Linked DNA regions of Xenopus tropicalis. The main gene of each other region encodes a partner of the protein of the gene in region 2 in a complex. Links are inferred from orthologs where the notes say so. Each region holds a gene or a part of one and is shown on either strand. Other genes may lie near its edges.

Evidence for each region.
Region 1: lin54 (region 2) and tfdp2 share a complex: the UniProt entries of both Homo sapiens proteins name them as parts of the DREAM complex. The link is inferred for Xenopus tropicalis from reciprocal best matches to the Homo sapiens genes LIN54 and TFDP2.
Region 3: lin54 (region 2) and mybl2 share a complex: the UniProt entries of both Homo sapiens proteins name them as parts of the DREAM complex. The link is inferred for Xenopus tropicalis from reciprocal best matches to the Homo sapiens genes LIN54 and MYBL2.
Region 4: lin54 (region 2) and lin52 share a complex: the UniProt entries of both Homo sapiens proteins name them as parts of the DREAM complex. The link is inferred for Xenopus tropicalis from reciprocal best matches to the Homo sapiens genes LIN54 and LIN52.
Region 5: lin54 (region 2) and e2f4 share a complex: the UniProt entries of both Homo sapiens proteins name them as parts of the DREAM complex. The link is inferred for Xenopus tropicalis from reciprocal best matches to the Homo sapiens genes LIN54 and E2F4.
Region 6: lin54 (region 2) and rbl2 share a complex: the UniProt entries of both Homo sapiens proteins name them as parts of the DREAM complex. The link is inferred for Xenopus tropicalis from reciprocal best matches to the Homo sapiens genes LIN54 and RBL2.
Region 7: lin54 (region 2) and rbl1 share a complex: the UniProt entries of both Homo sapiens proteins name them as parts of the DREAM complex. The link is inferred for Xenopus tropicalis from reciprocal best matches to the Homo sapiens genes LIN54 and RBL1.

What each region holds. Positions count from the first base shown.
Region 1 is NC_030681.2:129,561,309-129,565,517, forward strand, and holds the start of tfdp2 (transcription factor Dp-2), read right to left. Parts: upstream 2,801-4,209; 5' UTR 2,592-2,800; intron 1-2,591. UniProt on the Homo sapiens protein: Can stimulate E2F-dependent transcription.
Region 2 is NC_030677.2:85,303,912-85,307,411, reverse strand, and holds part of lin54 (protein lin-54 homolog), read right to left. Parts: intron 3,025-3,500; coding exon 2,951-3,024; intron 2,735-2,950; coding exon 2,537-2,734; intron 66-2,536; coding exon 1-65. UniProt on the Homo sapiens protein: Component of the DREAM complex, a multiprotein complex that can both act as a transcription activator or repressor depending on the context. In G0 phase, the complex binds to more than 800 promoters and is required for repression of E2F target genes.
Region 3 is NC_030686.2:39,924,556-39,928,491, reverse strand, and holds the start of mybl2 (myb-related protein B), read right to left. Parts: upstream 2,801-3,936; 5' UTR 2,660-2,800; coding exon 2,640-2,659; intron 465-2,639; coding exon 371-464; intron 81-370; coding exon 9-80; intron 1-8. UniProt on the Homo sapiens protein: Transcription factor involved in the regulation of cell survival, proliferation, and differentiation. Transactivates the expression of the CLU gene.
Region 4 is NC_030684.2:81,969,147-81,973,402, reverse strand, and holds the start of lin52 (protein lin-52 homolog), read right to left. Parts: upstream 2,801-4,256; 5' UTR 2,786-2,800; coding exon 2,767-2,785; intron 1-2,766. Other genes in the region: aldh6a1 (methylmalonate-semialdehyde dehydrogenase [acylating], mitochondrial), read left to right, coding at 3,279-3,305.
Region 5 is NC_030680.2:76,512,126-76,514,963, forward strand, and holds the end of e2f4 (transcription factor E2F4), read right to left. Parts: intron 1,275-2,838; coding exon 1,162-1,274; 3' UTR 501-1,161; downstream 1-500. UniProt on the Homo sapiens protein: Transcription activator that binds DNA cooperatively with DP proteins through the E2 recognition site, 5'-TTTC[CG]CGC-3' found in the promoter region of a number of genes whose products are involved in cell cycle regulation or in DNA replication.
Region 6 is NC_030680.2:49,460,512-49,464,581, forward strand, and holds the start of rbl2 (retinoblastoma-like protein 2), read right to left. Parts: upstream 2,801-4,070; 5' UTR 2,576-2,800; coding exon 2,417-2,575; intron 1-2,416. UniProt on the Homo sapiens protein: Key regulator of entry into cell division. Directly involved in heterochromatin formation by maintaining overall chromatin structure and, in particular, that of constitutive heterochromatin by stabilizing histone methylation.
Region 7 is NC_030686.2:42,375,740-42,378,087, reverse strand, and holds the end of rbl1 (retinoblastoma-like protein 1), read right to left. Parts: intron 2,153-2,348; coding exon 1,988-2,152; intron 1,858-1,987; coding exon 1,690-1,857; 3' UTR 501-1,689; downstream 1-500. UniProt on the Homo sapiens protein: Key regulator of entry into cell division. Directly involved in heterochromatin formation by maintaining overall chromatin structure and, in particular, that of constitutive heterochromatin by stabilizing histone methylation.

The DNA.
Region 1 (4,209 bases), on a different chromosome or scaffold from region 2:
AGAAAGCTTGGGAACATTTTAGTTACAACTCCTGTAGCTTAAACCTTAAGAACTTTACAGTTAAAATACATTGCTCTTATATGAAAAAGAATCCATAGCATATAGTACTGGAGTATCTACACTGGTAGATCTGGCAGGTAAGCAAAGAACTAGCTCCTAGTTCTAACTAAAAGAGTGTACGTTTTAAAGGGTAACTTTGTGGACAGATTGGCCCCTGGCCCACCAAAACTCAGACATTTAGCTGGGGCTGAACTGCCAGAATCCCCCTACCACAAAGAATTACACACAATCCCACATGCAAAGCCAAGGGATACTGCTGTACAGAACAGATATGAAAAAAAGAACAGAAAGCAAAGAAAGGGGCCAAGACAGAAACGTTGCCCCCTTTCACCATGCAATATATTATCAGCATTGCTTGGGGCCTAACAAAGCATAAACATTCTTAAATACTGCCAAAGAGTACAAAATATTAAGATTCCCATAGCGTATTAGACATCCTTACTTCCAACTCGTGTATAAATAAACCAAATCTGATTCAATAAGGGCCTCCTAATTGGTGTAAATAATACAGGGAATTAGGAAATGCTTGGAGCCAATAATGTAGGAGCAACTCTAGAAATGTTCTCACGCCACAAGCCATCAAACAAACATAGGACAAGCTGAAATATAAAGTCAAGATTGCCAGTATTTCCAAAATACAATGAACACTTCAAGTATAAAGGATACTGACTCCGAAATAGGAAATATCCTAAATGTGACTCAGTACGACCTTTAAAGGTAAGGCTTGAGGGACCTTTCACTCTGCCCCCTTCCCAACATAATATATTGTGGAACAAACCTAAAGCAAAAGCATTTCCAATCTGCAGCCTTCTAGCTGTTATTAACAGCAATTCCTGGCATCCTACCAATGTAGCTGGTGTTGTGGGGGTTTTAGTGCAACAATAGGAGGGCCACAGCTTAGATATGCCTAATGTACATTTGTGCCATATGCATCTTTCTACAGTGACCCCTACACAATACTGTGCATCATCCATTTCCCACGTGGGTCATGCAGCCCAATCAGTCCTGTGCTTAGCCTTAATTGTTACTACCATAACCAAACTTCCTACTGCAGCATTGTACTCTGTGCTGCACTTTCCTCTCCCAGGCTGCACATGTAGGCCAGGCCTTACCCAATCAGCACTGGGAGCAGCCAGCATGTGTCACTGATATGAGTGGGACTGATCAGGCAGCCCAGAGGAATGTCTCCTCCCTGCAGCAGCAGCAGCAGCAGCAGACAATGCTCTCGCCTTCATTAGCATACAGCTGACACTTAGGGCTTTTCATAGTGACTGTCCCACTGAGCAGCATGTGGCCCCAGGAGGCTGTCTGACCCAGGAAGCTGGCTCTATAGAACAAATGGGAGCCCTAACCCCCCCCCCCCCCCCCCCCCCCCCCCACACACACACACACACACACACTTTTACTACCAGTTAAAACTAAATGGCTTCTCTGACCATGGTAAAAGTTTCACACCAAAATGGTGTGACACAAAATGGAGGACTATGATAAATCAAGGTTCCTTAAAAAGCTAAAAAATAACCAGAATCCCCTTCTGTTTGTATACATTGTGCATTAAAGGTCCCAGAGAACAGCAGTGCACATTCTCCCTCACTCACACCCACCCTTATCCTGCTGCACAGGAAAGTACAATTAGCAAGAGAGCAGGGATGCTTGAGTTTCCAGAACAGACACAAGGCTCCACTTGTTCACTCCAACTGCACATGTGCACTACTACACACTATATACACTACTACGCACTAATAATCAGAACTCAGCATTCTAACCACAGGCCCATCACAATAACAAACTCCATCAGAAAAGCAAAGATTACCCATGAAAATTGTTGCATGCTCCATTGATCAGAAATTCCCAATATGCTGATGTGTGACTACAAAACCCTGCATCCCCTAATATCCTCTGACTTCCATGGAATGCAGGGGCTTTAGTTTCCCCAACAGCTGGTGGGCCCCATATTGCATATACCTGCACTGTATAACTACAATAACTTGCAGCAGCACAAAATTCAAGGATTTTCCCCCAAACATTGTGCTCAGTGTCTATGCATAGGAACTTCAAGTGGGGCATATATTGTACATATAAATAGGAGCAAGTTATTTTTTAATATTTCTATTATTGCTAAACCCACCATGGAATCAAACAGTGACTAAGCATGGCAAACACACACATATATATATATAGGTATAATTCATATATAAATACAATATAGCCTGATGCACTTGGAAGGGTTACTTAGTTGTAAGAGTTAAAACAATGGTGTATATGAAAATCTGTCATCCTGCTACATCTCCCCACAGCTCCAAGCAGTCCTGAGTACAAGCCCAGAAATCAGAGTGCAAAAGCAAGTAAATATGAGGAATATTATCCAATAAGTCAGCAGGGACTACCCTCCCCCCCAGGCAGAGCATGCTGCAGGAAATTAGTGCATTGTGTGGGACCATGAGAGCCTGGGGATCAGCATATATCCCAGTCTTAGGGGGGATCAGGTAAGTGGGAGGATAGAAGGGGTGACCCTTATGCAAGGGACCTACCTCAACACAGGACACGACTGGCTCACTATTCCCAGCTCACTACTAGAGCCACTCTTTGTTACCATTGCCTGAAAACTTGAAAATGAGGCAGGCATGAGCAACCGAGCGTCGAGCGCATCCACCGCGCACATCCGCGATCAGACCTAGCCAGGCACAATCAAAACAATTGGCATGTTATCTCCTGGGCAGGCTGAAGGTTGCTAGGAATTCTCAGGCATCGGCTGCTTCACTTACGTCATGGACTTTTAAACGGCAGAAGTCCCGGCGCAGTTTATTAGCCACAATCTTTAGAAGGTTACCCCGGCATGCTGGGAATTGTAGTTTAGGGAAACTGGCGAGGCTGATAGACAATGTTTACGGTTAGTGTGATTTGATAGGCTGTGCCTTTCAGCAGGAGGAAAATAAATCTCTGGGTTTTCTGCTGTCCTAGTGGGATAAATTGAGCATTAATGATTGTGATTATCCAGGCAATGTACTGGGCAAGGAGGGATGCTGGCTTATTTCAGATAATTTCAGAAGCAAACTTTAGAAGGAAAAATAAAGATGACTTTCTGTTTCATTAATAAGCAGCACTGTATGGCCATATAGCTTTATGTATGGGCAGATCATTACTTCCTTGCTTATTGGAAGCACCATGTTTATTGATTTTGAACAGACACACACCATACTAAGGACAGAAGATCACACAGTAAGATCATATGTGACTCATTGGACCGCAGACACCTAAATGGTGCTTTGATTGCCCCAAAAATCTCTATGCTTTGTGTGAAATCACCTACTAGAATGTAAAGAATGGAGGGAGACCATTAAATATCCAAAAGGGTAATGCTTGGGCCTTGATAGAGGCAGATCAACTATGGTAGGCCTATGTACAAATGAACTGCTGGCCTATCAACCTACCCACCTGTTGCTGAATAACTAAGGGTACACAAAATAATGTGCATAAAGTAACATGTATATAATTGGTTACTTTGCCTTCAGTTCATGACAGATGTAATGTAATAGTCTTGAAATGTATTTTTCACCAACGTTTTTTTCAGAATTGCTTAAAACCCCAAGGGGTGATTCAGGGTTGTGCCTTTCAGGTGGGGATTAGCTCTACATGACCTATAAAAGATTAAGAGTGTCAATGAGCAGATTAACATTCTCTTGTCATGCCTGAGGCAGAGGATATTGCCATGGTTTATTTCAATGTTTCTCTATGGGACCAGTCTGCCTTGTGCAAATTTTATCAGGCTTGAGTGGACACCTTGCCTCTTCTACATGATAATGACACATTTAAAATTAAAGTTGCAGAGAAATAGGCTAATTAATCACTCCTCACTGAAAAATATTTAGGAGAACTGTAGGTTAAGGTTTCCCACAAGATATTAATGCCAATGGGACTTGATCTCTGGTTAGTAGCCATGCTTACATTATGATACAATCAGGGGAATACTTTTTTACATTACAGCTCCTGACCTCACTTTAAAAATCAAAAAATCAACCTTTATACAAGGAGGTTAAAGAGTTAAAATGTAATTGTGTTTCCCAGGCACAAAGATTTTTTGAATGGCAGGAAAAGGGTTAAGCTAGTCATACCCCTCCCTTGTTGGTTTATCTGCTTGCCAGCAGAAGG
Region 2 (3,500 bases):
TGAGCAGCTGTTGTTCCTGATAACCCTGCATTGCTTGCTATAGAAACATACGAGGACTGCTGCAACTGAAAAAGCACAATTTGAAGGAATAAAGAAAATGATCTGCAACAATAGAGCCAAAACCAAAAACCTTAATTTTAGAAATGTAGAACCACATACAATTTACTGTCTCATGCCCCATCAATCCAATGTGCATCTAGGTTAGTGTTTCTTAAAGTGTTATTTCACATTAGAATTTACATTTAGTATTATGTAGAACGTGGTATTCCAAGACCACATTCTTTATATTTGTAGTTTTTGAAGTGTTACTTTTTCTAAGGAATTTAACTGTAGTTTATTTGTGTAACTTACCTAATAAAAAAAAACAAATACAAGAGTATTGTAGAAATGATACCTATGTTGGCTAACAATAGGTATCATTTCTACAATACTCTTGTATGTGTTTTTTTTTTTTTTTTTGTGTAACTTGCCTAGAAACTTACATTACTTATTTAAGTGTTTGTGTACATGGGGGAAGACAAAACTTTTAAGGGGCCCAAATTTCTGATGGTGGCCCTTCATTCAATCAGCATTTTGCCCTCCTGCAACTCTGGATATTAGCTTCCCCTTTTCCAGCCCATGTACAACTTGATTGATTTGTACCAGTTCACAGGAGCAAACTAGAAGCCAGAGCTTTAGAATGGTAGGAGATGACAACATCCAAGAAGAACAGACAGTGCAAAGAGTGTTATACAACAGGAATTATATAATTAGAATTGATGGTAAATACATTTTCCCTTTAAAATAGGATAGAGTGCCATGGATTTGTTTGCAATTGGAAAAGAAAACAGTACAATTCATATAGCACTGGAAGCTAACTACAGTGTCCCAAATTCCTTTTCCTAAAGCCTATTTCCTGTATGGCAGCAAAAAGGCAAAATAAGTTTGCGACCAGACAAAAGGGCAAAATCTCTTAAGACTAGTTCTAGTGCAGAACATAATTTATGCCTACGTTTTTAATGGTTTCAGTTATTTGTTGTTACAATAAAAGTGGTAAAAATTTCCACTAAAAGCCCTCACTATTCTTTATAATGAACTGCTCCTTACCTCAAAACTAACAAAAGAAGTAGGTTAGAGTATGTTTATACAGAGCAGACTATATTAATTTCAAATACAGGTATGGGACCGGTTATCCAAAATGCTCAGGACCTGGGGTTTCTCAGATAAGGAGTCTTTTCGTAATAAGGATCTATACTTTGTCTACAAAAAATAAATAAACCCAACAGGATTGTTTAGCCTTCATATATCTTAGTTAGGGTCAAGGACTAGGTACTATCTTATTATTACAGAGAAAGTCATTTTCAAAAATGTCATTTGATTAAAATAGTGTCTATTGGACATGGCTTTTTGGGGGAAAAGGGGATTCCGGCTAATGGATTTCATACCTGTACTACTATTTTTTAAATTAAAAATACAAACAATGTCACTTGGTCCTCATTTTATTTTGGTGTTTATTAATCATCTACCTTCCGTCTAGTCTTCAAATTGGGGTAAAAAAAAACAAAAAAAAAAAAACCTACTGCTCTCTGAGGCTACTACTCAGTATCATTCCTGGAACATTAGCAAAGTATGTATAGATTATTTATCAGCTGACTACTCAGCAATTCCAAAGAGAACATATGTATCAACTAATGTATCAAATAACAATTTACAGTAAGTTTTCCCCTCCCAGAGCTACTCTAGGGTGACACAGGAAGGTAAAAAAAAAAATGAAACTAAGAAAAGGTAAAAAAAAATAAATTTATATATAGCACTTGAAAAAACTTTTCTGGTGTACTATCTAAAAACAATAGTAAAAAAAAGTGTTTGGAAGGTGAATAAAGTGATAGGGTGATAGGTGTAAGTAAATCACATACATTGTAACCCCCAAAATCAAGTATTTGTCTGACTACTGCATTTAAAACCATACTGGAACAACCTCACAGTACTGGGTTTGAAATGTGTTCCAGTATTGTCTTTGAAGAGCATGACAATAAATTTGGCTAAATGGTTGCCATTTAGGGTGTCAGTGTCCCCATGTGATAATTAAGGGAAAGGTTTATCATTGATCAACTTTTTACAATCAACTATAAAGGAAGAACCCAATAAAAGGACTGCAGCAGTCTAAAAGTTTGGTTCCTTATGGGCCTAAGTCTAAGGGGAAGATTCACCAAGACACGAACGCTCCGAGCGTATTCTTGCCGATTTTTTTGCTCGAAAAATTTTGGAAAGGCTCTGCCGCTGTTTACAATAGTCGTTACGAAAATTTTGTGACTTTCGGATCGCCAATACGATATTATCGTGAGTAATACGATTTTTTCGTAAGCATTTTCGGGATATTTGCAATCTTCAGAAATTTTCGTTTCCAATCCGAATTTTTCCATTCATGATTCGAATTCGTGTTTTGATAAATCTGCCCCTAAGTCACCATATAAATTGAACAATACATTACAGGATAATTGATTATAAAACTCAATTGACAGACAGTGTCTTAATTCCGTAACATTAATTTACTCACCTGAGTGACATACTGAGCAGGTAGGACAGCATAACCTACATTTCCAGTCCCTGGTGCAGAGGCTAACACAGTGCCTGCTGGAAGGTTCGTAAGGCTGGGCTGTATTTGTGCAAGTGGCGTAGCTGGCATAAGAAGCCGCTGCTGTGGCTGGCTTGTTGTGACAATCTGGGAAGCTGCATTTAATGGCTTGGGAACAACCTAAAAAGGTAATGAACTTGAATGCACATAACCATAAATAAACATACATACATTAATGTTAAACATGTGTCTAGGTTAAAGCAAAAACTCTTTAATAGTAAAAAGTTTTTTATGGGGGAAAAAAAGCTGAAATCAAAGATTATTCAAGCACAAAATAATAAAACAAACAATTTTCTGAATACTCACCATCTATCTGAATATGAAGTTTAGACTTACTTGTTTGACAGTCTGTGCTGGAATAATGGGAACAGACATCCTCACAGGCGTTGCATTAACAACCACTGGTTTAGCTTTAGTTATGAGAGAGAGAGAGAAATATAAATGAATGAAGCACTGCAAATAATAACCTATTTGTCAGCTACTGGATAAAATCTAAATTAAATAGTTGGCATAAAGGGGGAGTTAAGTTAGTTTTCTAGGTTCACACTATACAGTGGCTCCTATACCATTGTGTTTATTAAGCAAAAAATGGTTATTCCTTACTGTATACTGAGCACTGGTCAGATGCAGAAGGAAAGCTGGTGAAGTTTCTTAAAATTGTCCTTTATCATGCCCCCCAAGCAGGTTTATTGTGTAGAAAGCACTGATATGTAAATACACAGCTCTCTTACTGGTGACATAAAATAAAAAAAACACTTTAGGGTGACTTTGTGAATATTAGCACAAGAGCTCTGATAAATGTTAGCGTTAGAAAGAGCTGTACTGTGAAAAGCTTGACAAAGATTTAATAAAATTACACTAATACTGGATATTTAAAAAACTGCAG
Region 3 (3,936 bases), on a different chromosome or scaffold from region 2:
GAACTTACAGTAAGGTTACTGGCAATCACCTTCCATTCACTCTGTCCATGCTTCTTCACCAAGGCTTTTAGCGTCTCATCCTAATGAAACAGAACAAAATGGAAACAATAATTAATACCTTACTGGGGGAAACACGGACGGGAGCAATTTTTACGCATGACCTAATACTGGGGAGTGACATCCCTGTACTATTTTATGTAAATAGTATCACCAACATATAAGACCCCCAGAGGATGACAGAGATGTCAGTCACAGTAAGAAGTCCAAAGACCAGCACTGGAGGGACAGAAGGGTTCTCATCCAGCCCTAGGCAAGAGATAAGGACTCTGGATTGTATTGCTCTAGCAATACATCTAATTGCATACTGTACCTCTTCTGGGGTCCACTTCACTTTGACCCTGCTTTCCTTTGGCTCCGGGACATCAGAGTCTGTGTCCTGATATTGCAAATCCTCAAGATCATCTCTGTATGGGTTAAAGAAAAAATTATTATTAGTATTTAGTCAACATGCAACAGTGTCCCAGAAATAAGCACAGGTTCAGCATATGGAAAGAGGCAGCATTACTCAAAGCACCCAGGGAATAGGGTGTCTGTTAATCTAGCAAAACAAGGATTAAAAAAAAAAAAAAAAAAAACCAGGGTGCCATGAGGGTGGCCACTACTCCAAATGCGAAGGTCGAACTTTCCAGCAACCCCTCTCCAGCTTGCTTTTGGAGATATCACATAGGGGCTGGGTCAACTAGAAAGGGGGGTGGGGTGGAATTCAGCTTGGGAAAGCAAAGGATCCTACATGTGGCACATAGCTGGGACAGAACACAAGGTTACAGGCAGAAACATGAACAAAAAAAAAAAAAAAAAAAAAAGAGAAAACTGTGCACTAGGGAAGTCATCCTTGGGTTTTACTTAAGCGTCTGATAAGTGCATTATATTTCTGTAAATGCAGTCAATGTAGGTGGGTTGCAAAGGGGAGAAGTGTGAAGGTGGGGGAGGGAGTTGTAATCAGCATGACATCCTGAGGCACCTTTACACAAAAAGTGTAGTGTTCCTAGATATACAAGAAAGAAATTACTAAGAATCTAAGGAAATATGGCCGACAAAAACTTCTTTCTCTTTAAGAAGGGTTATAAATGAGGAGCAGAGACAGGCAAACAAGCACAGGGAGGCTGCAGAACGTGGCGCTCAGCTGGAATGGAGCACTGAGAGAGCAGGGACAAACCCAGCTGGAGAGTCACAAGTTAACCTCCTGGCGCAATAAGACAAAAGCCAAAACAAAAGGGGTCGTTGGGGGCCAGCTGTGCACAAACATAGCATTACTGAAGGTCTGAGAAGTACTGGGAAATGTGGGAAGCACAGGGAGAGAAATATGGGGTAGTAGGGCAGATATGCATGCCCTGAAGTGTATGGAAAGCCAAAGGAAAACTCTCAGAGGGAGGACAGTGGAAGCTTCATAGGAAAGTGCAAATGGGGGTGGGGGAGAGCGGACAATGGGGCAATGCACGGAAGCCCACTCGGGGTGGACATGGAAAGTCCTTATGGGGAGACAGAACAAGGGAAGTAAAGAGAAGGCTAGAAAGATAATAGACAAAAACAAGGGTTGGCAATACTAGCTGGGGAGAGAGCTGAGGGGGCAACAGTGATGGGCAGCTGGGGAGAGAGGTGAGGGGTGACAGTGATGGGCAGCTGGGGGAGTACAGGGAAGGGCAGACTGGGGAGAGAGCTGGGGGGTAGAGGGAAGGGCAGACTGGGGAGAGAGCTGAGGGGGTAGAGGGAAGGGGAGACCGGGGAAAGAGCTGAGGGGGTACAGGGAAGGGGAGACCGGGGAAAGAGCTGAGGGGGTACAGGGAAGGGGAGACCGGGGAGAGAGCTGGGGGGTAGAGGGAAGGGCAGACTGGGGAGAGAGCTGGGGGGTAGAGGGAAGGGCAGACTGGGGAGAGAGCTGGGGGGTAGAGGGAAGGGCAGACTGGGGAGAGAGCTGGGGGGTAGAGGGAAGGGCAGACTGGGGAGAGAGCTGAGGGGGTAGAGGGAAGGGGAGACTGGGGAGAGAGCTGGGGGGTAGAGGGAAGGGCAGACTGGGGAGAGAGCTGGGGGGTAGAGGGAAGGGGAGACTGGGGAGAGAGCAAAGAGCCCAGCTGTGGAGAGAGAAGCAGTAGAATAGTTTAGCTATAGTTTAGGCATGTGGAACCGACAGAGAAGCCCAACTAGACAGGAAAGTCCAGAATGGGGGAAGTTAGTAAATCCAGAGAAGGCCAATAGGTGAGAGCCCGGCAAGGCCAGGGCAGAGGCAAGGCCAGGGCAGAGGCAAGGCCAGGGCAGAGGCAAGGCCAGGGCAGAGGCAAGGCCAGGGCAGAGGCAAGGCCAGGGCAGAGGCCAGGGCAGGGGCAAGGCCAGGGCAGGTGCCAGGGCAGAGGCAAGGCCAGGGCAGAGGCAAGGCCAGGGCAGAGGCAAGGCCAGGGCAGAGGCAAGGCCAGGGTAAGGGCGATAACACAGGGCAGGGAGGAGGCGCAGAACTGAAAGCGCAAAGCAGACGCCCAGTGACTGGCACCTACTCAAAAGTAGTAAGAAAAGGCCGCCGGGTTCTAAAGTAGTAGCTGTGCCCGTATGTGCAGCCCCACTGCCCCACCCGTTAGTGCCAGGCTCACCCGCGGGCCCGCCGGGACATCCTGCCGCTCCGGACACTTCAGTGCGCAGTCTGTGGCGGTATTGTTATTTCCTATCTCCCGCCAGCTGCGCACGCACCCACAGAACTCCCTTTCCGGGGCGGAACCCACTCCCTGGGCGGGGCCTACAGCCCATACGGAGGCGCTCTAGGTGCCTGTCACTTCTATATGTGGGGAGGGCCATGCGTCCGGTTTTAACCAATGAACAGCAAGCGCACTGATGTCAGCGATTTCCCGGCGACCAATCAAAGCTAGAAATGAGGGACAGCTTCTGGCGCCTATTACGTTTTGTAACAACCCGAGTGACAGAGGATTCTAAAAATTTCCAGACTAGACAGTCATTTCCTCTTAGTTTTGGCGACGGTAGCGTTAAGCCATGCATTTTAAGTGGGGTTTACGCTGACATCACCACCTCAGATTTGCTATGAGTGTATAGGTTTTTGAACATTAAATTTGAACTGCTGCCTGGTTACTAGAATGGGAGTTCCCTAGCAACAAACATAGAAGTATAATAATAATAATGAAATGGAACCTTCACAGTCAGTCTGTTTTTCAGTTACCTAGGTAACCTTGACAACTAAGCAATTGCAGGCTGGAAAAAAAATAGAATGGAAATATAAATAAAACAAAAAAAACCTGAAATGTTTATTAGGTACTTCTACAGGACTGCCATTGGCTGGCTACAAGTGGTATTGCTGAGGGGGGGTGGGGTATGTGCTCAAATATAACCTCTCCTGAACCCAGTCTGAGCAGCATGGCTTAGGAGTGACTGCCCAGTAGTGGAAAGAACCCTCAGTAAAGGCAGAAATTATATCACTTTCCCTTCCACCCTCTGCAACTGGGAACAGGGGGAGCAAAATGGAACTTCTATATGAGAGAGAAGACTGGGGGAAACCATAACTGAGATGGAGGAAGGTTATAAAGTAGACAGTGAAGATAAATGGAGAGGTGTTAGGTTAGGAAGACGTTATGGGGGTACAGCAGGGATGTCTCTATAACAAATACAAATTTAATGTAACAGTTAACATTCCCTTGAAACATGGCTCTCACATTCCTCAGTATCCAGCATCCCTATGAGCTGGTCTGGCCTAACAACTACAAGTGAGGAATGGGATAATTGGATAATGGGTGGGGTCACAAGGCGAGATTGATTGGCTACTTAACCTCCTAAAACACTATATAAAAGGCTACTTGCCTGGAAGCCAGAATAAATCATTTAGAGGAAATCTATCAGGGAAGGTAAGTGGCTGCACAAAGGGAATCAAGTTGGTGGTGTGTC
Region 4 (4,256 bases), on a different chromosome or scaffold from region 2:
ACCAGTGCAGGGCCACAGTATGTTATATTTCAATTACTTTAAAACACTTTCATTTTTTGGTGTTACTGTTCCTTTAAATGCCAAAACTATTTTTGAATAGTCAACTAAGTGAAATCTTGTGACTTTGTGACCTTAGCTACTTACTTCCCACTGGTTTTAAAGGGGCAGTGTCACCTCTAGCTCAAAATCAGATCAATAAATAGTATGGTGTTTGTTTATACAAAGCTTATTGGCCCTATTTAAACTCAGTTGATAGCGGTTAAAATAGGTAGATAAAGTAAAAACTAAATAATAATACATAAGTATACTATATTATACATACATTCTATTTATCTTGCTTGTGTTGAAAAAAGTGTAAAGTTCATTTTTTTGTTTTAATCATTGTATTAGTATTCAAGAAAACATACAGGTGAACGTGGAATCTCATTCAAAATAGAGAGATCATAAAAGGTAAGCATTGAAAAGTAAACAATTACAATCTTACATAAAACTAATTGTAATAATATTTAATATATTAAAGTTACTAGAGTTCAAGAAAAAATTTGTGCCAAGTATTATTTTCATGGCTAGGATTACGTATAGTAGGAATCCATTTTAATGATAAAGGATGTCATGTATCTTATCTCTTTCCTTATTTTCCAAGCTTTGCAAATATTTTCCATTTTGATGTAAATTTTAAATGGTGTTTTCAAGCTATCGAATCTGAAATGAATAGTTTCATTTTTACAAAGATTTAGTTCTGCTTAAATGTCAGTGAATGAGGGAGGGGAGGACTCAATCCACTATTTAAATATAACTCTTTTAGCTGCAACCAAAGTCAATTTGATGTAATTCAGAATGTGGAGAATTCCAGTCTTTAGACTTGCCTGTGATTAAGTGCATCTTTAAACAGAGCTCTTTTCCATTTAAAAGTTGGATCTAGGCTACAAACCATCCAGTGTGATATGTAAAAGCATGTACTAACAGCTAAGTAAATAAAGTGTTTGGGTCATATGAACAAATCCATTAGTACAAATGAAAATCTCTATGAATTTCACTCATTAAAGGATGATAAAAGCTAAAATCATTGGCAGGCTCCAATTTGTTAGTCATCCCCCCATGATTATATTTACAGAGCAGAGACCCAAAGCTTGCATTTTTTCTGCAGAGTGTGCCATAACCATTTTTCCCTGCTCTTTCCAAAGCTCCTCTATTGCCCTGGGTAAGCAGAGTCCAGTAATTGTTCAGTGAGTTTTGTACTGTGCACAATGTGAACAACTTCTCTTGTTGATGATTACAATCATGGGGGGTGGCTGACAACTTGGCAACCCCAGTGAATTTTGCTAGCATTGTGTTTTAAGAAGGTATCATGCTTGCAAACCATGCTTACTACTTGCAGAGTATAATTTGAGAAAAAAAATACGTAAAAGCCACACAACAGGTTAAAACTGGTATAATTCCCCTTGTAAACTATAGCTGTGAATGCGTTCAAAGGGAAAAAAACAAGTTAAATTGAGCGTTATCCATTAACTATTGCAAGTAAACTCTCACTCATACCCCACAAAGATCTCAGCACATAGATTTGAGGTAACAAAAACAGTATAGACCTTTGCTCAAACGAAGTAAAATAAAGAGGACATATACTCTTGCTATTCTTTTAAAAGATAAAAAAAATCTTATTTTGGTAGGGTTCTGTTATAAAGTACCTCACTCTTCCTAAACCTGTATGCAGGAGAGTTTATTTCTGCAAGGTTTTACTTCTTCTGCTCTTACTGTATCTTTTTTTCTGTTACCATTTTCAAGTCACTCCCACCTGTAGGTATAGACTGGCTATCTGTGGATCCAGGGGAATGCCAGATGGGCTGCTGTTAGATGCCAGACATTTATTAGCCAGGTGGGGGCTGTTTGGGCATTACACCAAAAGGACATTACACCAAAAGGATCTAGGCTATTCATACAAAACAAGCTAGATTTTAACTTTTCTTGTTGGCAAGGTGTATTCACAAGAATACATTTTCACACACTAGAGTAACCAAGTAGCATTGTGGTAAAGTGGTCGGAATTCTTGCCCTTCTGTGTTAGGGTTCTGGGTTCAACTCACAAAGCTTTTACACAAATTTTTTACATGTATGTTGATAGGAAGAGTTTGGGTTTACGTAGTATACTTTGGGTCATTAGGATTAGGCTAGACTGTATAATACTTTTTTCATGAGCGTGAATATCTCGTATATAATTTTGGGACATTAGGTTTGTGATTATGATAATGTTTAGCTAAAATAAAGCACTCTTTTCTTTAATTGCCTTTAGTAGCTTGATCACTGAGCTATATCCACACTAGGATCTAACAGCTTTACGCATGTGCACTATGCTACATTCGTCTATGAGTAGTAGTATTTAGGTTAATGTCTGTACATTGGCAACATCCCAAATTGTGCAAGTACACCTTCCTACAAACTAGACGAAGCCGAAGGCTTGTACACTTTCCACCTGATGTCAATAGGAAGCCTTATTACATGTGAAAAGTAAAAGAAGGATCAGTTCATTGTCTGCGGCTAATTATTGACATGGCTAGGGATCACCAGAGCAGCACAGAACATCGCAATGCATTCACTGTTATTTTCAAGGTTTAATGATAAACTCCCAGTACTTTCTCGACAGAGTAACCATGCGCAGCGGGAACACACATCGGCTTTACCCTGCTGCTAGAAGCAATTATCGGATACATATATGTAGAATACTTTCCTCTAAGCCCATTAGTGTACCTACAAATTAAAAACAACCGCTTACCATCCGTAACTGCCGCCATTTTCTCACTTGTCACGTGACAGAAATAGACTTAAACATTCCATCTTGGTACACCCAATTTGACGCTCTATACTTAAGCGCCATATTGCTGCACCCACCCATAGCTTACACAAACGTCTATTTTTTAAAGACTAAAGTTAACTTGTACAATAATGTTTTAACCATTAAGGCATGGTGCGATGCACTGCCTTTTTGCTACATCACTTTCCAGACACCAAGAAGGCGTCATGTTCCTACACATTTTGTCGATCGTAAAAATGGCAAATAGCGGTGAAGATCCAAGAGTCATCACGTGACAAATATGAGCCAATCAAGGCACACATAGTAGGGCACCAGTCGGTCAAACCTTGAGTTAGCGCACAATCGGTCACTATTTCTGGCAGGCCAATAGGAAACACTTTTTAAGGGGCCGTGGCATCATCAGCCAATGGCGGGGTAGAGGTGTGGCTTCTTGTCATTCAGTCTCTGAGAAGCTCAGGGATTCTGAAGGAAGCATGATGCGGATCAGAGGAATAGTGAGGGTGAGTGTGGGCTAGTACATTGACATGAGTGAGTGGGGGAGAGAATATCCCCAGGTACCCAAAATAAATGGGTGTTCCCAATAGACGAATGAAACTATATTATGAAGGTGCTATTTTACAAGCAGGGCTACGTTGATATGCGCGGATAAAGGAGGCTGGGATTAAGAGACTGATGGTCGGTAGTGACTCAGTGTTGGGGGTAGTAAATTGGGCCCCTGCATTAGAATTTTGCACCGGAGAGGATGGGTCACTGCCCTTTCTCTAGAGGCCTTCATAGTTCGTGTATTGGTATGCCCAGCCCAGGCCTTGCCAAAAGTCTTGGAAGGAAACTAAGATTCAAGTAGTGAACCAAATAGTGTGAGGATTGATCTGGTATTCCTATTGATTAATATTAATCTGATATACTCCTTTGTTAAGTTTTGGATAATTTACTTTGCAAAATTTGGTGCTTTGTTGGGCTGCATATCATTGCACATGAACACTCCCATGTATATAAGGCGATATATCAGATATTCCCAGTGGGTGCTTAATAATGTTCAGTGCTATGCAGCTTATGCTGAGATCCTAATAAGAAGGTATACTTCAGAAAAATACCTATATGGACTTGCACACTGATTGCCAGCAGTAGGTTATGTGGGCATTGTTGGCAGCTAATGCCTGCTTTGTGCTATATATTAGCATAGGAATGGATAAACTGTTGATTATCTAGGGCATGTGTGAAACACAAGGCCCGCGGGCCGAATCCAGCCCGCCTGGCTGTTTTATGTGGCCGATGGTGACTGTGTCTGAACATGCAGCACCTATCACCTGACATCACTGCTCCAGTCCCAGTGGTGCTGCACGGTCAGGCATGGTTGACCCTCAACTTGGCCTGTGTTTTAGATTTCGGCCCCTTATGTGATTGAGTTTGACACCCATGATCTAGGGCTACCTTTATGGGTGATGATGCCT
Region 5 (2,838 bases), on a different chromosome or scaffold from region 2:
GCCAAGGAACTCCTTTTGCAGAAAGTATATTCCTTACCTTGATTACTGACACTGGAATTACATTATATATATTATATATTTGCAGTATATTAAATAAAATCAATTTAAATCAACATAGACTAAGTCCTAATATTCTACTTAAACGTTGGACTGAGATCCAGGTGGAGCAGCACTGGTATTAAAAACAAGGAGATCTCTGTCTGGGAGAAACAACATATCTCCATGGTACCATGTCACCTAACATATTACAAATATATGAAAGCTATGTGCAAAGGAAAATGCCAATCTTAACGTATATTCGGTCATAGAAGTGACTATAAATAGGTAACTCTTTACACTATAATATTCTTTCTAAAGCACAAGTTTATAATATAATTCAATTCCATACAACTCCAGTGCCAGCAATCATTGTGTATCATTTGGACTAAAATGGACTGCACAGCTTTTGTATTGAATCTCACCACTTTCACCCCAACAAAGTCACACAGCTGCTCTGGGTGTTTGTTTTTACATCCCTAAAGTGCTACTGGCAAATACGGGTTTATTTTGTAGAAAACAAAAATTACAAATAGTTCATGTGGCGCAGCAAATGTATGTAGAAAAATAATTTCATATCAACATCTTCTTTCATTTAGGTAAATTAGCTAGACAGTGACTGGCAGCGATTTGGCAGTGAGTGAGGTCAGAGCATAATAAAAGACAACCAAGCTTATTTTTTACGGTTACTGCATGGAAAACCATTTGTTTATGGAGGATGGTACTGCACACCTACTATATTATTGGACAGACTTAAGAACTTCTAAGCCCAAATACTGAGGCACACTCAGCCAAAAATCCAAATATTATGTACTTCAGCAAAAATGTTAAGTGCTTGAAATTTGTGAAAAGCTTCTGTCAGATGTAGTAATGGACTTAATAAAGCTGGATCAATACAGACAACCTCTATGAAGGGTTTGCCAAGCAGTCCTCTCATCACAGGGATGGAAAAGTTATGAGCGGATTCTCACAGTGAGAGGAGTTAAGTGTCTTTTTGCACTGCAATGTCTCTGGTATGGTTTCCGTAACAACTCACGCGGATATCCAAAAATAGAAACATTTCTTCATAAAAGACAACAAAAAAGTTCTTATTCACAAATAAGGCCCAAAGCCGAGTTCAAAATATCAGAGGTTGATGGGTACATCAAAGAGGTCACAAACTCCTTCACTTTCATCTAAATTATAGACATAGTCGTGATCACCAGGAGGAGGAGAAAGTCTGAGCAGAGGAGCAAAAACTGAAAAAAAAAAAAAAATCATGAGTATTTTCAAGCATAAGCAGGTGCCCACATACAGGGCCAGCAGTGGTATCAGTCATAAGTGCTTCTGATATGATTTATATAGAGAGACTGTATCTTAATACAAATCTATACCTATACAACCAACATCATTCTACATACCAACACTAAGGGGCACATTAACAAAGGCATGAACGCTCAGAGCGTTTTTTCGCTGAATTTTTTGGGCGTCCGCACGATTTTGTCGTACGCCGCACGACTTTTCCCCATACGCTTGCACGAAAAAACTGGAAAGGTTTTACCGCTGTTTAAAATTGTACGGTACGCACATTTTGTGACCAATACGAAATTATCGTGACTAATACAATTTTTTCGTAAGCATTTTCGTGATATTTGCGATCTTCAGAAATTTTCGTTTCCAATCCGAATTTTTCCCATTTGGGATTCGAACTCGTGATTTGATAAATCTGCCCCTAAGGGGCAAGTTTATCAAAATGTGAGTTTACCACAGAAAAAACTCATTCACTTTCTATTCATTCACTGATAAACACACTTTTAAAAATCACAGTAATTTTTTCAGTGGTAAACTTTAATCTCACATTTTGATAAACCTGCCCCTAAGTGCCATGGCAGACAGGGAGATTAGTCGCCCGCGGCGTCACGTATGCCATCCCACTGGTGATTTACATTCAAGTCAGTGGAGATGGCATATCTGGGAGATTAGTTGCCCGCGACTAATCTCCCCATCTGCCACGGCTCTTAGAATATGCAATTTAAAGAGCCAATTACACCAAAAACGTTAATTATTTGACTAGAAGAACTGCTTATTTATATAATATGTATAATAAATCTTTACTTTAAGCAAAAGTTCAAGTTTTATTGCAGCATGTTTGCTATCAGCTCTGCAGTGGTCATCCATTATTTAGCTGTCCGGCCTGCATTTACAGCCTCTTGGCTCCAATCTGCTCTATAGTGTGTTTGCAGCTGCAGACAATACTTTTGGCCTGGGTGCAAACACAAGAAGCTGATTAGGCAGTAAATGCATAGTGATGCGTTTCTGCACTAAAATACGCTGGGGGTCATTTCACCACTGGGCAAATTTGCTTGTGGGCAGTAACCTATGGCAACCAATCAAACTGCTGCATTCATTGTTCTACCTGCAGCTGGCTAAAAAAAAGCCAATAACTGACTGCTATAGGTTTCAGTGCCCAGAGTTGATAAACAAACTGCAGTGTGTCTGCAGAGAGCGGAGGGACTGTTTCTGTGCCTGTGCTTATATGCATGCTGAGAAACTGCTGTATATGGCAGTAGCCTTAGCACCACAGAGCACAGATACTTGAGAGTAAGGGCACACCATAGCAGACATTAGATCCTTACATTATTCTGTGAAAATGTACTTACTGCAAGCTAATACTTATATGGACACATACAAACGGCACACTGGTTTATGCTTAAAAGCCATGCCTTTAGATAAATCATGGCACAATGCTTTTTTTTTTTTTGCTTCTTTTAATGGGATTTTAACAAAAAAATCTTTTAGGAAAACATAAAAGAAACTATGCCT
Region 6 (4,070 bases), on a different chromosome or scaffold from region 2:
TTTAGTGAGGAGGGTCCTTTCAAACGATGAGGGTCCCTAGATTGCAGGGCGGACTCAGGGAGGTAGTAGGAAGAAGCTCTAACAGCAGACACGAGTGCGACCGTTTCTGGTGGTAGAAGTCGGGCCCTCCAACAATCGCGTCACAAGACTGACTTGGCTCGTTACCTAGAGGTTTGGGCCCTTGAACGTATGTGATATATGCTTGGCAGTCAAAGGCTTTTTCTGCAACATGTATCACATACATGCTTGGCAGGAAAAGCGTAAAACCTTACATATGTTTCTTGTAAATCCTTATTTCCAAGCAGTGCTGAGTCCCCTGGGCAACCTGGTTGGCTTGGCCCGCCTTATCCCCCACGTGGGCGCGCGTGCACACACAGGGTGGCGGGGTTGCCGGGGCCACTGGCGGGGGGGTACTACAGTAGGGGGGGGAAAGGGCCCGGAACTAGTGGTTGGTGAAAGAAATACCACCTGCCTGGCGCGGCCACACCGTTGCGCCATAGGCAGGTGCCTCTTCTGCCTACCCATGCTTCCAAGTACCTTCAGTTCCTGAAATCTCTCCATCCCCACCTTCCATTTGATTGATAGAGAGTGTACTGTCTGTAAAAAGAGCTGCCCTCTGATTGGAGAAGCTGCAAGCAAAAAAATCCAATCAGAGTGCAGCTGGTAACAATGGTATCGGACCTTGCAGGAATGCAAAGAGCTTTCCACTTTTTAATTTAGGTGCCAGACAGGTTTGGAAAGGGTTAGCCTTCCCTAGACTTAATGAAAATCTACCCATTGATTTATCTAGGGTTGAACTGGGCGGCCGGGGCACCAGGAACAAACCTGGTGAGCCCCTGCGGCCCCAACCCGATCCCCGCAGGGTGCGCCACAAATCCTCCGGTCTCCCTTCCCTGATGCGCTGCAGGTAAGTTTAATTTACAGTTACTTACTAGTGAAAAAGTATTCCATCCCACATTTGAATTTGTAGGTTTATTGGTGATGGCGCACAAAAGGAGGGATATGTACAAAACAAACTCATAAGAATTAAGAGGGAACTATAGATCTGCATAAAATAGTACTATACTATATCTGAACTATACCTAGTTCAGATTAACACAAAATATTTTCAAGGTATCATATTTCTTTTAAAAAAGGAAGAATATACAGCACTTCTCTGCTTTAGTTACTTGGATACAGTGTTAGAATATAAATAACACAGTCTGCAAGAGCCCTAGTAATTAAACAGCTGAATTGCTAAGGTCCACATATCTCCAAGGAGACTGCATTAAGCTGCTCCTCATCACAACCAAAACAAACAGCAGCCATCAAGTCAAAGCTGCTAATATACAGCATGTTAATATATATATATACAGGTAGCATAACTCCAAGTTTAAGTTAGCTGGTATAATGATCTGCACTACGCTCAGTTAGATGAGAATACAGTAAGTAAGCACTCCATATAGCTTGTCAAAAGGATGTGAAAATAACTAGGCAGATTTCTCAGCTTATAAAACACAGAAATTCAGAGTTGTGCAACTACTGTAAATACCGTGTTAATCATTTTTAATTATCTTCCACAAAAAAAAAAATCAGAAAGATGTTAATTATTGTACACATCCTCCAACAGCCTCATGTGTCAGTCCCTCCCTGAACCTTTAGATCTGTGATCCCCAACCAGTGGCTCGTGCGCAACATGTTGCTACCCAACCCCTTGAATGTTGCTCCCAGTGGCCTCAAAGCAGGTGCTCATTTTTGTATTTCTGGTTTGGAGGCAAGTTTTGGTTGCATAAAAACCCAGTATAATGCCAAACAGAGTCTCCTATAGGCTGCCAGTCCACAGAGGGGGCTATTAAGTAGCCAACCATAGCTCTTATTTGCACCCCCAGGAACCTTTCGTCATGCTTGTGTTGCTCCCCAACACTTTTTCCATTTGAATGTGGCACACAGGTAAAAAAGGTTGGGGATCCCTACTTTAGATTGTAAGCTCATGCAATCAGTTCCTTCTTGTCTCCTGCCCCGCAAGGCACTTTTTTGTTACCGTTTTGTACTTATTAGCGATCAGAATAAAGTCATAGCTATGACAGACTACTGCACTCCACGTCCATTTCATCCCTTCCCGTATCTGATAAGGAGCTGTAACACATGCAGCATAGGCATCCAGGTGAAATGCTAAATAATGTGAAATAAACTAAAAAAAAGCAATGAAAATATTTTCTGGGATGCAAAAACCTCCACAGCGCACTACTACAGTTATTTGCTAATAAGCCAAAGCTTGCAGCGACGCTGTTTGTTTTTTTTCCAGTCCAGTTGTTACTGTACTACCATACCCAGCATGCCCTGTAGCGGAGACTGGGAGAGCAGAGTAGCACCAACAGCAGTAGGAGGGCCGCAGGTCAGGCATTCATCAAGCCCATGAAAAAATAGAATTTCTCACCTCTAGAGTATAATTCTGGCTAATCCTACTGTAATACTCCCAGGCCTCCCCCCGGGCCCTCTCATCCATATTAAGGCTGCTGCAGAGTTCGTCATAGCGGCAGCGCAGCTGTTCTTCTGCCTGCTTGCCTTCCCCTTCTTCTTCTTCCTCCTTGATCATCCTCAGACCTTCCAGTTGCCCGGCTATGTCCCCTCCGCCACCCGAACGGTGCACTTCCACATCTCACACTGCGCAGCCATTTAAATGGCAATGACTGACAGCAACGCTTTGATATTCTCGTCACCAATTAGAAAGGCCTACTAGCGTAGGACACTGTTCTTCTAATATAGATGGGGAAAATGCGTAGCGTAGCCCCGCCCAAAACAACACAGAGGTCGGCCTTTTCCTTTCCTTATCGCTGCCGATTGAGATACTTGCTAGTTCCTGCTAGTCTCTTACTCTGTTCATAAACAACATAGCAGCATCCGCCGCCCTATTCTGTTAGTACGCGTGCGTTATGTTCCTTCCTGAAAAGAAAGTTTTAGTTCAACTAAGCCCCACTGTTCCTATATGTAAATACTTTCTTTGGAGGAGGAGGCCATCCTGCTTTTACGCTTTCTAAACTAACACTCACGTTTTCCTATATGGGCTGTGTCATCTTTACTTCACAGGGGGTCCAAAATGAGTGAACAAATCGACTTGAAGGAATGTCACAGTATCAATGGCAATTACGGGGGACCCAGCCCTTTATGAACATATCCAGTAATTTGTATGATTCATAAAAAAGAAAATAATTTAGAAATGCAATGCAATGTTTGCATTTAGGACATAACATGTTTTACCAACATTCACATCTTAAATGCTATGGGGATCATAATAAGTAAAAAAAATTACAGGAATTCATATATTCGTCTTTCTCTATTAATAACGTTGGCATCAAGCATAATTTATTACTGGGAAGGCGGGTAAAACACTGGACAGGTGGCAACCCTAGTCAACAGGCCCGGATTTACAAAGAGGGTGCACCCTAGACCCCCGTCTCTGCAGTCATGTGCATGCCCACTTCTATAGTCAGTGCGTGGGGCATTTCTCTAGTCCTTCAGTCCAAATTTAGAAGCAGCAGCTGGTCTGCATGTTGCCCTAGGCCCTGGCCTTTGTATAAATCCAGATCTGCTACTCAGTACTTTTCACTTATCTGAGGGGGGGGGAGCTGGAGGAAGTCGCTGCGGTGGGGGAAAGCTGAGGGGAGCCAGAGGAAGTTGCTGGGGGGGAGCTGGAGGAAGTCGCTGGGGGCGAGTTGGAGGAAGTTACTGGGGGTGGAGCAGAAGGACAATGGGGGTGAGCTGTGCACATGCAGCGGGGAGCCACAGGAAGTTGCTGGGGGGGAGCTGGAGGATTCTGATGGGAGCTGGGGGTAGCCGGAGGATGCTTGGGGGGGGAGCTGGAGGATGCTGGGAAGGACTCTGGGGGGGAGCTGGAGTATGATGTGGGGGTGAGCTGGAGGATGCAGGGGGGCCCTGGCTACCAATGTTTTAGGGGGGCCCTGGCTACCAATGTCTGTGTGTCCTTTGTACTAATGGGAGGGAGCATTGGGGGGCAGGGCGTGAGAGGAGGGGGGCCCCGTGATTTCTGATGGCAGCCCTGAGTGTATGTACATGCCTGTCATGGGATTTTA
Region 7 (2,348 bases), on a different chromosome or scaffold from region 2:
CTCTGCAGGTTTTGGAAGTTCTGGCACAGCAGGGAGAGGTCTGCCTTGATCATTTTGAGTTGCGTGGTGACCAAAGTGTGGATCCCGTTAATTGCAGCTAGCAGGCCAGCATTAGAAGGATCGGGAGTTGTGTTTGCGGGTGCGGGCTGTTCAGAAAATGATGGAAGGTGGGTCCGCATCTGCAGCCTTGTGTGCAGTCATTGTAAACTGCGGTAGAAATTCTCATTTTGCTGGATGCTGCTAATCACCATAGAGAGTGCACCCTCAGGCCAGGGATTCTTAAACTTTAGGTTGGGATCATAAAATGGGTCCCCAGGCTGTTTAACATTGGCTGTCCATGACCCCTGCACCCCATTATGGATACTGATTGGTTCATCAGCTGGGCAACAGAGTATGGCAAATAGGCAGATGAGGAATTGTAGTTACAGCTCCTCCACACTTTGTTATTCCAACTGTTTAGGCTTTCAGCCCCACCAAAAGAAGTCAGTACAAGTACCCAGTAATAGTAGGGACCTTTTTATTTTACATATTTACACATAGGCATATTACATATACATTTATATACTATAACCTTCAGCCTACACTATTGTGGTACACCTGCAGCTCCATTTCAGGCAGATGCTTCATTGGTCTGTTGCAAGGATCTGGGGCTGCATAGATTTCATTCCTCCTCTCTTATTTGGTGTACCATATATAATGTAAAAGTCAGAATTGTGAATAGGATGCTTCAAGAAGATTCATCTGAATGGAAGTGACATTGTAATGTACAATAAAACGTTATGTACAGAGATTTAAAAAGGTGCCAGCAAACCATAAAAAGGTGTAGATGCTACACAATTTCATTCAGCTCAAAAAAGCACAGCAAAGATTCACATCAAAGGGTTTCATTTTACGCTAGGAATAAAAAGATAAAATGGCTGCACGCAGATAGAGCAGGAAAAACCCAGCACAGAAAATGCACTGCCAAATATTTCTACTCCTTTTCCCTGGAGTCCGTAAAATGACTGTATAAACACAGCGCAACGCTGGAAAATCCAAGATTTTGTTGCCAGATCTTGATTGAACTCAATCTGTAAGTTCATACATTACAATAAAAAGAATCTCCATTAATGCTTTTGGAGCAAAAAGAACACTTAAAAAGGAACAATAAAAACTGTATGCTGCGCTGCTGAAAGCTAGTGTTCATAAAATTAAAAGTCTATAGTTAAAAAATGTACTCATGAAGCTTTGCTTTGTATCAGTAAAATGCTACTGCAGGTAATGAAATAGAATTCAGTCCACTAGGGGGCGCCTCCACCGGCAGTATTATTACAGCTCACAACATTCAACCCTGATGAACTCAGTAAGCCATATATGTTTCATATAAAGGCAAAACTGAGGAACGATAGACTTTCCTTTATCACAATAGGTTAAAAATATCATGTTAAGAAAAAAATAGATAAAACCATGGAAACGGCAGGGCAGTTGTCCCATCACGACTGACCACGTGGCTAAGGCTTTTGGCCAACTGCAGTGATTGAGATTGCAGACAGTAGCTAGCAAACAGTGTACAATATCATACGTGCAAGAAGAGTCTCCAACACCTAATGGAACTCGGGGGCCCAGTTGGAAGGGTACTGACCCGAGACTTGCCTAAAATGTAGCTTTTTAATGGGCCGGAACCACAGAATGCCAATGGCCAGACTGCAGCTAATGGTTGGCCCTCTCACTCACGACATCCTGCAGGCGTTTCAGCAGAGCATCATCATTTTCCTGGCAGAGCCGCTTTGCCGGGGACTCCGTGTCGCTGTCAATAGCAATGATCCGCTTCCGGCTCCTCTGCTCCTGTTTCAGCATGCTGTTTATGTCCTGCAAGCTCTTCAATAAACAGAATATAATAAGTACAGAGTCCCTTTAATGTCAACCAATGCCACCAATCAAGCTCCCCTTTATTCTACTGTATAACTATAATCGGGATATAAACGTCCCCAGCAAGGGCACAACTTACTTTTGAAGGACTTCCATTAAACTTGTACAGGAGGGCTGTGTGGGGAGTCAGGCTGCCGCTGTTCTTATGGGGAGACACATAGATAGAATGCTGCTGGGATACTCGGCGGGGAGAAATAGCTTGTTGCTTGATGCTGGGAAATGGCGAAAGAGGCGGAGCATCCATCTAAAAAGAAAAAAATCACATCAAATGTATGGCCCATGCTATAAAAAGGAAAAGGACACCTTCACAATAACTTAATATGTTAAAGATAGATCAGTTTAGGTAACTTCATTATGATGATGGATGGCTGGTTGCCAAGGTCACTGACCCTGGCAACCAAACAGCTCAAGACAATTTTATTATTGCTTTTTTTCTAGGT